Linked DNA regions of Saccharomyces cerevisiae S288C. The protein of the gene in region 1 purifies or fractionates together with the protein of each later gene. This does not show direct contact. Each region holds a gene or a part of one and is shown on either strand. Other genes may lie near its edges.

What was found. Proteins that work in one complex are often made in the same cells at the same time.
Region 2: the proteins of HSP78 (region 1) and PRX1 purify together in Saccharomyces cerevisiae (affinity purification with mass spectrometry; 3 studies listed by BioGRID, with this or other methods). This does not show direct contact.

What each region holds. Positions count from the first base shown.
Region 1 is NC_001136.10:969,446-975,899, reverse strand, and holds HSP78 (chaperone ATPase HSP78), read left to right. Parts: upstream 1-1,656; coding exon 1,657-4,092; downstream 4,093-6,454. Other genes in the region: YAP6 (Yap6p), read left to right, coding at 118-1,269; RKM4 (ribosomal lysine N-methyltransferase), read left to right, coding at 4,426-5,910; CTA1 (catalase A), read left to right, coding at 6,220-6,454. UniProt on the Saccharomyces cerevisiae protein: Required, in concert with mitochondrial Hsp70 (SSC1), for the dissociation, resolubilization and refolding of aggregates of damaged proteins in the mitochondrial matrix after heat stress.
Region 2 is NC_001134.8:99,871-103,672, reverse strand, and holds PRX1 (thioredoxin peroxidase PRX1), read left to right. Parts: upstream 1-2,516; coding exon 2,517-3,302; downstream 3,303-3,802. Other genes in the region: KIP1 (Kip1p), read right to left, coding at 1-1,787; SEF1 (Sef1p), read left to right, coding at 3,558-3,802. UniProt on the Saccharomyces cerevisiae protein: Thiol-specific peroxidase that catalyzes the reduction of hydrogen peroxide and organic hydroperoxides to water and alcohols, respectively.

The sequences.
Region 1 (6,454 bases):
TCTTTCCTCAAACTGTAACACCGAGTTTTTTTCCCCACCAATCGTGAATCCGATAGCATATACTTTTGTCTAGAAATTTCAATAAACAACAGAATAACGAAGAGTGCTAAGGGACAAATGCAAAACCCTCCGTTGATTCGTCCCGATATGTATAATCAGGGAAGCAGCTCAATGGCTACTTATAATGCCTCTGAGAAGAATCTAAATGAGCATCCTTCTCCGCAAATTGCACAGCCCAGCACGTCCCAAAAGTTACCTTATAGAATAAATCCTACAACCACTAATGGGGACACCGACATATCTGTTAACAGCAATCCTATCCAGCCTCCTTTGCCAAACTTGATGCATCTATCTGGTCCGTCTGACTATAGATCGATGCATCAAAGTCCTATACATCCATCTTATATCATCCCTCCGCATTCAAATGAAAGAAAACAATCAGCTTCTTACAACAGACCTCAAAATGCTCATGTTAGTATTCAACCTTCCGTGGTATTCCCCCCTAAAAGTTATTCCATATCTTATGCACCTTATCAAATAAATCCCCCTTTACCAAATGGACTTCCGAACCAGAGCATATCTTTGAATAAGGAGTATATTGCAGAGGAGCAACTATCAACCCTCCCATCTCGCAATACCAGTGTTACTACTGCACCTCCTTCTTTTCAAAACAGTGCTGATACCGCTAAAAATTCAGCTGATAATAATGATAATAATGATAATGTAACCAAACCTGTTCCTGATAAAGACACCCAACTCATAAGTAGTTCAGGCAAAACTTTAAGAAATACTAGAAGAGCTGCTCAAAATAGAACCGCTCAAAAGGCATTTAGACAAAGGAAAGAAAAATACATCAAGAATCTCGAACAAAAATCAAAGATATTTGACGATTTACTAGCAGAAAATAATAACTTCAAATCATTAAACGATTCATTAAGAAATGACAACAACATTTTAATAGCTCAGCATGAAGCTATAAGGAATGCAATTACTATGTTAAGAAGTGAGTATGATGTCTTATGTAACGAAAACAACATGTTGAAGAATGAGAATAGTATAATAAAAAATGAACACAACATGTCAAGAAATGAAAATGAAAACCTAAAACTTGAGAATAAACGCTTCCACGCTGAATATATACGAATGATCGAGGATATTGAAAATACTAAAAGAAAGGAACAAGAACAACGAGATGAAATAGAGCAACTAAAAAAAAAAATAAGATCCCTGGAGGAAATAGTAGGGAGACACTCGGATAGTGCCACGTAATACAATAAATAGGGAGCAGATATTGATCTCTAGTACTGGAAGATCAACTTTTTGCTTTGGCCTTATAGGTCATATAAATTTTAATAATTAATGTAACAGACAAATCAAGGTGTGATTCTGTTCTGATAAAATTTGTTATTTTCCAGAATGTTCTAGAAGTGTTCTTTCATCTAATGGCATCGCGTTTGAATAGGGGGTGCACGGACTTTTTTTTTTGAATAAACCCCTGTGATTCATTGTATCTAAGCTCATCAAACCCCCTAGTTACTGACTCACGCACACACATATATATACATATATATGCATATGTAAGCATGAAAAGTTTGACTTCTATTATCTATTCCAGGAACCCTGAAACAAGCGAGTGAAAATCTTTCAAGGTTAAATATGTTAAGACAAGCTACAAAAGCACCAATACAAAAATATTTACAGAGAACGCAACTATTAAGGCGAAGTACTCCACGAATATACACTATTGTACAGTGTAAAAGATCTATTTGCAGTTTTAATGCAAGACCTCGAGTAGCCAATAAACTTCTATCAGATATAAAAACAAATGCATTAAATGAAGTCGCTATTTCAACCTGCGCCCTCAAGAGCTCATATGGATTGCCCAATTTCAAAAGAACGTACGTCCAAATGAGGATGGATCCCAATCAGCAACCGGAAAAGCCAGCTTTAGAACAATTTGGTACAAACTTGACAAAATTAGCGCGCGACGGTAAATTAGACCCTGTCATTGGCAGAGACGAAGAAATCGCAAGAGCTATTCAAATTTTATCAAGAAGAACAAAAAATAATCCATGTTTGATCGGTCGAGCTGGTGTCGGTAAAACCGCCCTTATTGATGGGTTAGCTCAAAGAATTGTTGCTGGGGAGGTCCCTGACTCGTTGAAAGATAAAGATCTAGTAGCTTTGGATTTGGGATCTTTGATTGCTGGCGCCAAATATAGAGGTGAATTCGAAGAACGTTTAAAAAAGGTTTTAGAAGAAATTGACAAGGCCAATGGTAAGGTTATTGTTTTCATTGATGAAGTTCATATGCTGCTTGGCTTAGGTAAAACTGATGGTAGTATGGATGCTTCTAACATCTTAAAGCCAAAACTGGCCCGTGGGCTACGTTGTATCTCTGCAACCACTCTTGATGAATTCAAAATCATTGAAAAAGATCCGGCTTTATCGAGAAGGTTTCAGCCTATCTTATTGAATGAGCCGAGCGTCTCCGATACGATTTCTATACTAAGAGGTTTAAAAGAAAGGTACGAGGTTCATCATGGTGTAAGGATCACTGATACAGCTTTAGTGTCTGCTGCAGTTCTTTCAAATCGTTATATAACAGACAGGTTTCTACCTGATAAAGCCATTGATCTAGTTGACGAAGCTTGTGCTGTACTACGTTTACAACATGAATCCAAACCGGATGAAATACAGAAACTGGATCGTGCTATTATGAAAATACAAATAGAACTGGAATCTTTAAAGAAAGAGACCGACCCTGTTTCCGTGGAAAGAAGAGAAGCGTTGGAAAAGGACCTAGAAATGAAAAATGATGAATTAAACAGATTAACAAAAATATGGGACGCTGAAAGAGCTGAAATTGAATCTATCAAAAATGCTAAGGCAAATTTGGAACAAGCAAGAATTGAGTTGGAAAAGTGTCAGAGAGAGGGTGATTACACTAAAGCATCCGAGTTGCGATATTCCAGAATTCCTGACTTGGAGAAGAAGGTAGCTTTAAGCGAGAAGAGTAAGGACGGAGATAAAGTAAATTTACTTCATGATTCAGTTACTTCTGACGATATTTCTAAGGTTGTTGCCAAAATGACTGGTATTCCTACAGAAACGGTGATGAAAGGCGACAAGGACCGCCTACTGTATATGGAAAATTCTTTAAAAGAAAGAGTCGTTGGCCAAGACGAGGCCATTGCTGCTATTTCTGATGCTGTACGTCTTCAAAGGGCTGGTTTGACCAGTGAAAAGAGACCTATTGCCAGCTTTATGTTCTTAGGTCCTACTGGTACTGGTAAAACAGAATTGACCAAGGCTTTAGCTGAATTCCTATTTGATGACGAATCAAATGTGATTCGTTTTGACATGTCAGAATTTCAAGAGAAGCATACTGTCTCTCGTTTAATCGGTGCACCTCCAGGTTACGTCTTAAGCGAATCTGGTGGCCAATTAACTGAGGCTGTCAGAAGAAAGCCTTATGCTGTCGTTTTATTTGATGAATTTGAAAAAGCGCACCCCGATGTTTCCAAACTACTGTTGCAAGTGTTGGATGAAGGTAAGCTGACCGATTCCCTAGGCCATCATGTTGATTTCCGTAACACGATCATTGTGATGACCTCAAACATTGGACAAGATATTTTATTAAACGACACAAAGTTGGGTGATGATGGTAAGATTGACACCGCAACCAAGAATAAAGTTATCGAAGCAATGAAAAGATCCTATCCACCTGAGTTCATCAATCGTATTGATGATATTCTAGTTTTCAATAGGCTATCCAAGAAAGTTTTGAGGTCAATTGTTGATATTAGAATTGCAGAAATTCAAGATCGTTTGGCCGAAAAAAGAATGAAAATTGATTTAACTGATGAAGCGAAGGATTGGCTAACTGACAAAGGCTACGATCAATTATATGGTGCAAGGCCATTGAATAGATTAATTCATAGACAGATTTTGAACTCCATGGCAACTTTCTTATTAAAAGGTCAAATTAGAAACGGCGAAACTGTTAGAGTGGTGGTTAAAGATACTAAGCTTGTCGTGCTACCAAATCATGAAGAAGGCGAAGTTGTTGAAGAGGAAGCTGAAAAGTAACTGCACAAGCGGTTTATGAATAATAAATTCCCAAGAAAATACATATATAAACATACACATTTCTCTTTTGTAAATAGAAGAATTAAAATAAAAGATTTTTGGTATCAAATAAACTGGATGAATGTTACATGTACCAAGTGCCCTGGCAATACAATAAAGCTATTGGTCTGGAAGTATTGATATTATTCAAATGTAATCTTCGAGAGTTACTGCGGGTAATACACACATGTGTCACATATTTTTCTCTCGAGTATGAAAAAATTTCATTACCTTTGTAAAAGCTTAATACGATCATTTCAATATGACTAGTAATAAAGGGGAAAGTTTGCGAAAATGGATGATTTTTCAAGAGATACCGAAAACTTTGTTTGCTGGTTAAAAACTACCGCTGAAATTGAAGTATCCCCTAAGATAGAAATCAAAGATCTTTGTTGTGATAATCAAGGCCGCGCAGTAGTTGCCACTCAAAAGATTAAGAAGGATGAAACATTGTTTAAAATACCTCGTAGTTCTGTTTTAAGCGTTACAACATCTCAACTGATAAAGGATTATCCTTCTCTCAAGGATAAGTTCCTGAACGAAACCGGATCGTGGGAAGGTTTAATTATCTGTATACTTTATGAGATGGAAGTTTTGCAAGAAAGAAGCCGATGGGCGCCTTACTTTAAAGTTTGGAACAAACCAAGCGATATGAACGCGTTAATTTTTTGGGATGATAATGAACTGCAACTTTTAAAACCATCACTTGTCCTTGAAAGAATAGGAAAAAAGGAAGCCAAAGAGATGCATGAAAGAATTATTAAATCAATCAAACAAATTGGTGGAGAATTTTCACGTGTAGCGACGTCCTTCGAGTTTGATAATTTTGCCTATATTGCAAGCATTATATTGAGTTACTCCTTTGATTTGGAAATGCAAGATAGTAGTGTAAATGAAAATGAAGAAGAAGAAACCAGTGAAGAAGAACTTGAAAATGAGCGCTACTTGAAATCGATGATTCCACTTGCTGATATGTTGAATGCAGATACCAGTAAATGCAACGCTAATTTAACTTACGACTCTAACTGTTTAAAGATGGTTGCTTTGAGGGATATTGAAAAGAATGAACAAGTGTACAACATATACGGAGAACATCCAAATTCGGAACTACTAAGAAGATATGGGTATGTTGAATGGGACGGTTCGAAGTATGATTTTGGAGAAGTGTTACTTGAAAATATTGTCGAGGCGTTAAAAGAGACTTTTGAGACGAATACTGAATTTTTGGACAGGTGTATTGATATCTTACGCAATAACGCCAATATTCAAGAATTCTTAGAAGGTGAAGAAATAGTACTAGATTCATATGATTGTTATAATAATGGTGAATTGTTGCCTCAACTAATACTTTTGGTCCAAATCTTGACAATTCTTTGCCAAATTCCAGGTTTATGCAAACTGGACATAAAAGCAATGGAAAGGCAAGTGGAGAGAATTGTAAAGAAGTGTTTACAATTGATAGAAGGTGCCCGCGCCACTACAAACTGTAGTGCCACATGGAAACGTTGTATTATGAAGCGTCTAGCCGATTACCCCATAAAAAAGTGCGTTTCTATCGAAAAACCTTCGAAAGGAAACTCATTAACAAGGGAAGAACTAAGAGATGTTATGGCTCGGAGAGTTTTGAAAAGCGAAATAGATTCGCTGCAAGTTTGTGAAGAAACCATCGACAAGAATTACAAGGTTATTCCTGATGAAAAGCTGCTAACTAATATTTTAAAGAGAAAGTTGACAGAGGAAGAAAAAAGCTCTGTCAAACGTCCTTGCGTGAAGAAGTGAGCGGTTGTTCTAACCACTATTTAAAGCCGCAATTAGTAATGCAAAAAGTTGGCCGGAATTAGCCGCGCAAGTTGGTGGGGTCCCTTAATCCGAAAAAGGACGGCTTTAACAAATATAAACTCCGAAAATCCCCACAGTGACAGAATTGGAGAAACAACCAGTTTTGATATCGCCATACATATAAAGAGATGTAGAAAGCATTCTTCACTGTAATGTCCAAATCGTACATTTGAATTTCTTGTAGGTTTATTTAAAAGGTAAGTTAAATAAATATAATAGTACTTACAAATAAATTTGGAACCCTAGAAGATGTCGAAATTGGGACAAGAAAAAAATGAAGTAAATTACTCTGATGTAAGAGAGGATAGAGTTGTGACAAACTCCACTGGTAATCCAATCAATGAACCATTTGTCACCCAACGTATTGGGGAACATGGCCCTTTGCTTTTGCAAGATTATAACTTAATTGATTCTTTGGCTCATTTCAACAGGGAAAATATTCCTCAAAGGAATCCACATGCTCATGGTTCTGGTGCCTTCGGCT
Region 2 (3,802 bases), on another chromosome or scaffold:
CTGGTTAGTTCTTCGGTGACGCCTTTGATAACTTCGGAACATTTAGAGTTATAATTATTTAAAGAGCCCTGTAAAGTGTTCAAAGTCTGTAAAACTTGTTGAGAGATTTTTAATTGCATGTTCTGGTTCGTATTATACTGTTTTTGAGAATTTTCTAGTGAAAAATCTCTCTGTTGTATGACTTCATTCATTAGTTCGAGATTAGTATGGTGAATTTTTTGGATTTCCGAGTAAAAGTTAGAAAAATCGACATTAAAATTCTGTATTATGGCAATTAGTTTTTCCTTTTCAGACTGTAAAAGATTATTGATATCTAATTGGTTCAGGTAGTTTTCTTTGAATTTTTTAATTTGTTCTCGCAGGTTATGTATTTTTAGATTTTGCTCATCAATCAAGATAGAATTGCTCTCGTAAAGGTCCAACTGATCTTGAGTTATAAATATACCTTGTTTGTTTCTTGAATTTTTCAAATCATTTCTTAATTTTTCAATCTCTTGAATGTAGTCTTTGAGACATGTATCCTTCGATAAAGACTGATTTACTTGTGGAGTATTCTTAATTGATTTGGCTCTCGTTGCATATTCTAGCGTACTTGCAGTCTCTTCCATGGATATTTTCGCAGGTGATATAGTTGCGATAATGCATGTTTTCGTCATACCACCTAAAGAGTCTTGTAGCAATCTTGTTAGCTTAGATTCTCTGTAAGGTATATGGTTAGAATGATCAACGAGTGCGTTGATAACACGGCCTAGTGTTAGCAGCGATTTGTTTATTAGGCCAGCTTCTTGAGCCCTTTTATTCTCCGCACCCGATCTGTTGATGTTTTCACTGCCTGCCAAATCCACCAAATTCAATTTGCCAATTTTAACAAAATTTTTGTTTTGTCCATGGTCTTTGCTATCTTGCTCAACTATGTTTGTTGTGATTGTAAAGACGGTGTGAGACCTTGATGAAAGATCGTTGCATTTAGTAGCGGCCACTTTCCTTTTTAACGAACCCTGCATTAGCAAATTCAAGCCTTCGTGTGCAGAGTTAATAAAGATTTCCTGCATCCCCTTGACCATGATGGATGAATTATTGTTGTTATTGTCAAAAATACGAATCTGCCTCTTGGGATCGTTGACTGCAGGATCATCGTCCTCACTATCAGAGAGCAGATCTTTCAAATTTTCATTGTACAACTCTAAAAAGGATATTTTTACGGAGTACTCTTTATTTAAGGAGCTCAATTCTTTAAACAAATCGACCAGAACCCGTGGTATGATACCTGCATGCTCTCCTAATAATAGATTATCGGTAGATTGCACATCACCGAGAATATTTATATCGCCAGACATAGTGTAGGTTTTACCTGTTCCCGTTTGACCGTATGCAAATATTGTACAATTGTACCCGTGCAACATTTCCTTAATGTAGTTTTTTGCAGTGGCATTAAACACTGTTTCCTGGTCAGATTCTGCGCCGAACACCTGATCAAATTGGTAAGTTTTCTTCGAGGACGAATACGATTGGTGAGAACCGTTGGACAGAATGATTTCTTTCCCTTGTGGGCCTAGTGTAGATATAACTACACTACTTTTTTCCTCTATTTCTCGCTTATTACGCGATCTGCACCTTACATATACATGTATATTGGAGTCTGAAGTGGCAGCACCATTGTTACAGGTGGGCGGCGTTAGAGTGTGCATCCCATTTGAAAGACTTGGAGATGGAGCATGTGCAATGGTCCTCCTCTTGTTCGCTTCGAACTGGGCGGTGCGGCGGTTGGGCAAGGAAGAACGAGCCATGATTGTTTAACTATCTCGCCATATTTAGTGAGGGAAGCGCGAACTGTCGTTGATTGTTTATGTGTTTATTTTATGTTTATCGTTCTTAGAGGGTGGCGCGCACTGTGCGCGCATATGTGGGCCATACGCAGACATATATAAAGAACTAAGAAAAGGTGAAATGGGACTCTACGATGGCGCTAATGGTAAGGTCTCTTTTCTATTTGCCTAATTCAGATACAATATATAATTGCCAACCTCAAAGAAGAAGAATTATGGGCATATTGACCTTCTCCGGTTTCCCTCCCGCGCTCTCGTATCCGTCTGCATTTGACCTCGAGCAAGCGCTCCACTATGTCTATATGTTTACCAGTAAAACTTCTTAACGTTTGTGATATTTTTTGAACTTCAACCACATTCAGTATGCGTGTGTATATAAAGATATTCCTGATAGCACTATGTTTATCTTTATACAATATACAAAAGGTCACCCAGGACGAGCAGCGCGGCTATTTTTCTATCATTCCGTGAATAGCGACCAACGGTCGGCGGCTATTTTTTTTTTTGCAATTTTTTCGGGATGGGTTCCCCGGCAAAAGCTAGCCCCGGAGATTTTTAATTACGTAAAGAAACAAGGGGCCGGATGTTGCTGCTATTGGTATATAAAGAGAGAAGGAGAGATATAGAAAATTGTGCTTCTAGATTCTCGCAGTAGGATGAGATAAATTTCAAAGAAGCAGGAAGCAAAGGATGTTTAGTAGAATTTGTAGCGCTCAATTAAAGAGGACGGCATGGACCCTTCCTAAGCAGGCTCACTTGCAATCACAGACGATTAAAACATTTGCCACAGCACCTATTCTGTGCAAACAATTCAAACAAAGTGATCAACCAAGACTAAGAATAAACTCTGATGCTCCTAACTTTGATGCTGACACAACGGTTGGTAAAATCAATTTTTACGACTACTTGGGCGACTCTTGGGGGGTCTTGTTTTCTCACCCAGCAGATTTCACCCCTGTCTGCACCACCGAAGTCAGCGCATTCGCCAAATTGAAGCCGGAATTCGACAAGAGAAATGTTAAATTGATCGGGCTTTCAGTGGAAGATGTTGAGTCCCACGAAAAATGGATTCAAGACATCAAGGAAATAGCAAAGGTTAAAAATGTTGGTTTCCCAATAATTGGTGACACTTTTAGAAACGTGGCATTCCTATATGATATGGTAGATGCCGAAGGATTCAAAAATATCAATGATGGGTCACTGAAGACCGTGAGGTCTGTTTTCGTCATCGATCCCAAGAAGAAGATTAGACTGATTTTTACCTACCCTTCCACCGTCGGAAGAAACACTTCTGAAGTGTTAAGGGTAATCGACGCCTTGCAATTGACTGACAAGGAGGGCGTAGTAACTCCAATTAATTGGCAGCCAGCTGACGATGTCATTATTCCTCCCTCTGTCTCCAATGATGAGGCGAAGGCTAAATTTGGTCAATTTAATGAAATTAAACCCTATTTAAGATTCACCAAGTCGAAATAAGCTTTGAAATAAACGACTTTACTATATACAGGTATATGAAGTATCTCTAACTAAAACTTTTATCTATCTTTCATTCTTATTATATCTCATCTCGTACGAAGGGCCGCTCATTGGATCATTTTTCTTTACATACCGTAAAGGAATGGCGTTAAAAATATATATATGAAAATGCATGTAATAAACTCTCTGCAGAAACCTTAATGTCAAAGGTCCCGTATACAGATTATATTGGCTCTGCGTATACGCATTCTCGTCATGGTGAAGGATAATCGAGATTCTGACCAAGACCAAGATTTTAGTTCTGCTCACATGAAAAGACAACCGGAGCAGCAACAGTTGCAACAGCACCAGTTCCCAAGTAAGAAACAACGAATATCTCACCATGATGACAGTCATCAAATCAACCATAGACCAGTTACCTCATGTACACATTGTAGACAGCACAAAATCAAATGCGATGCTAGTCAAAATTTCCCTCATCCTTGCTCCAGATGCGAAAA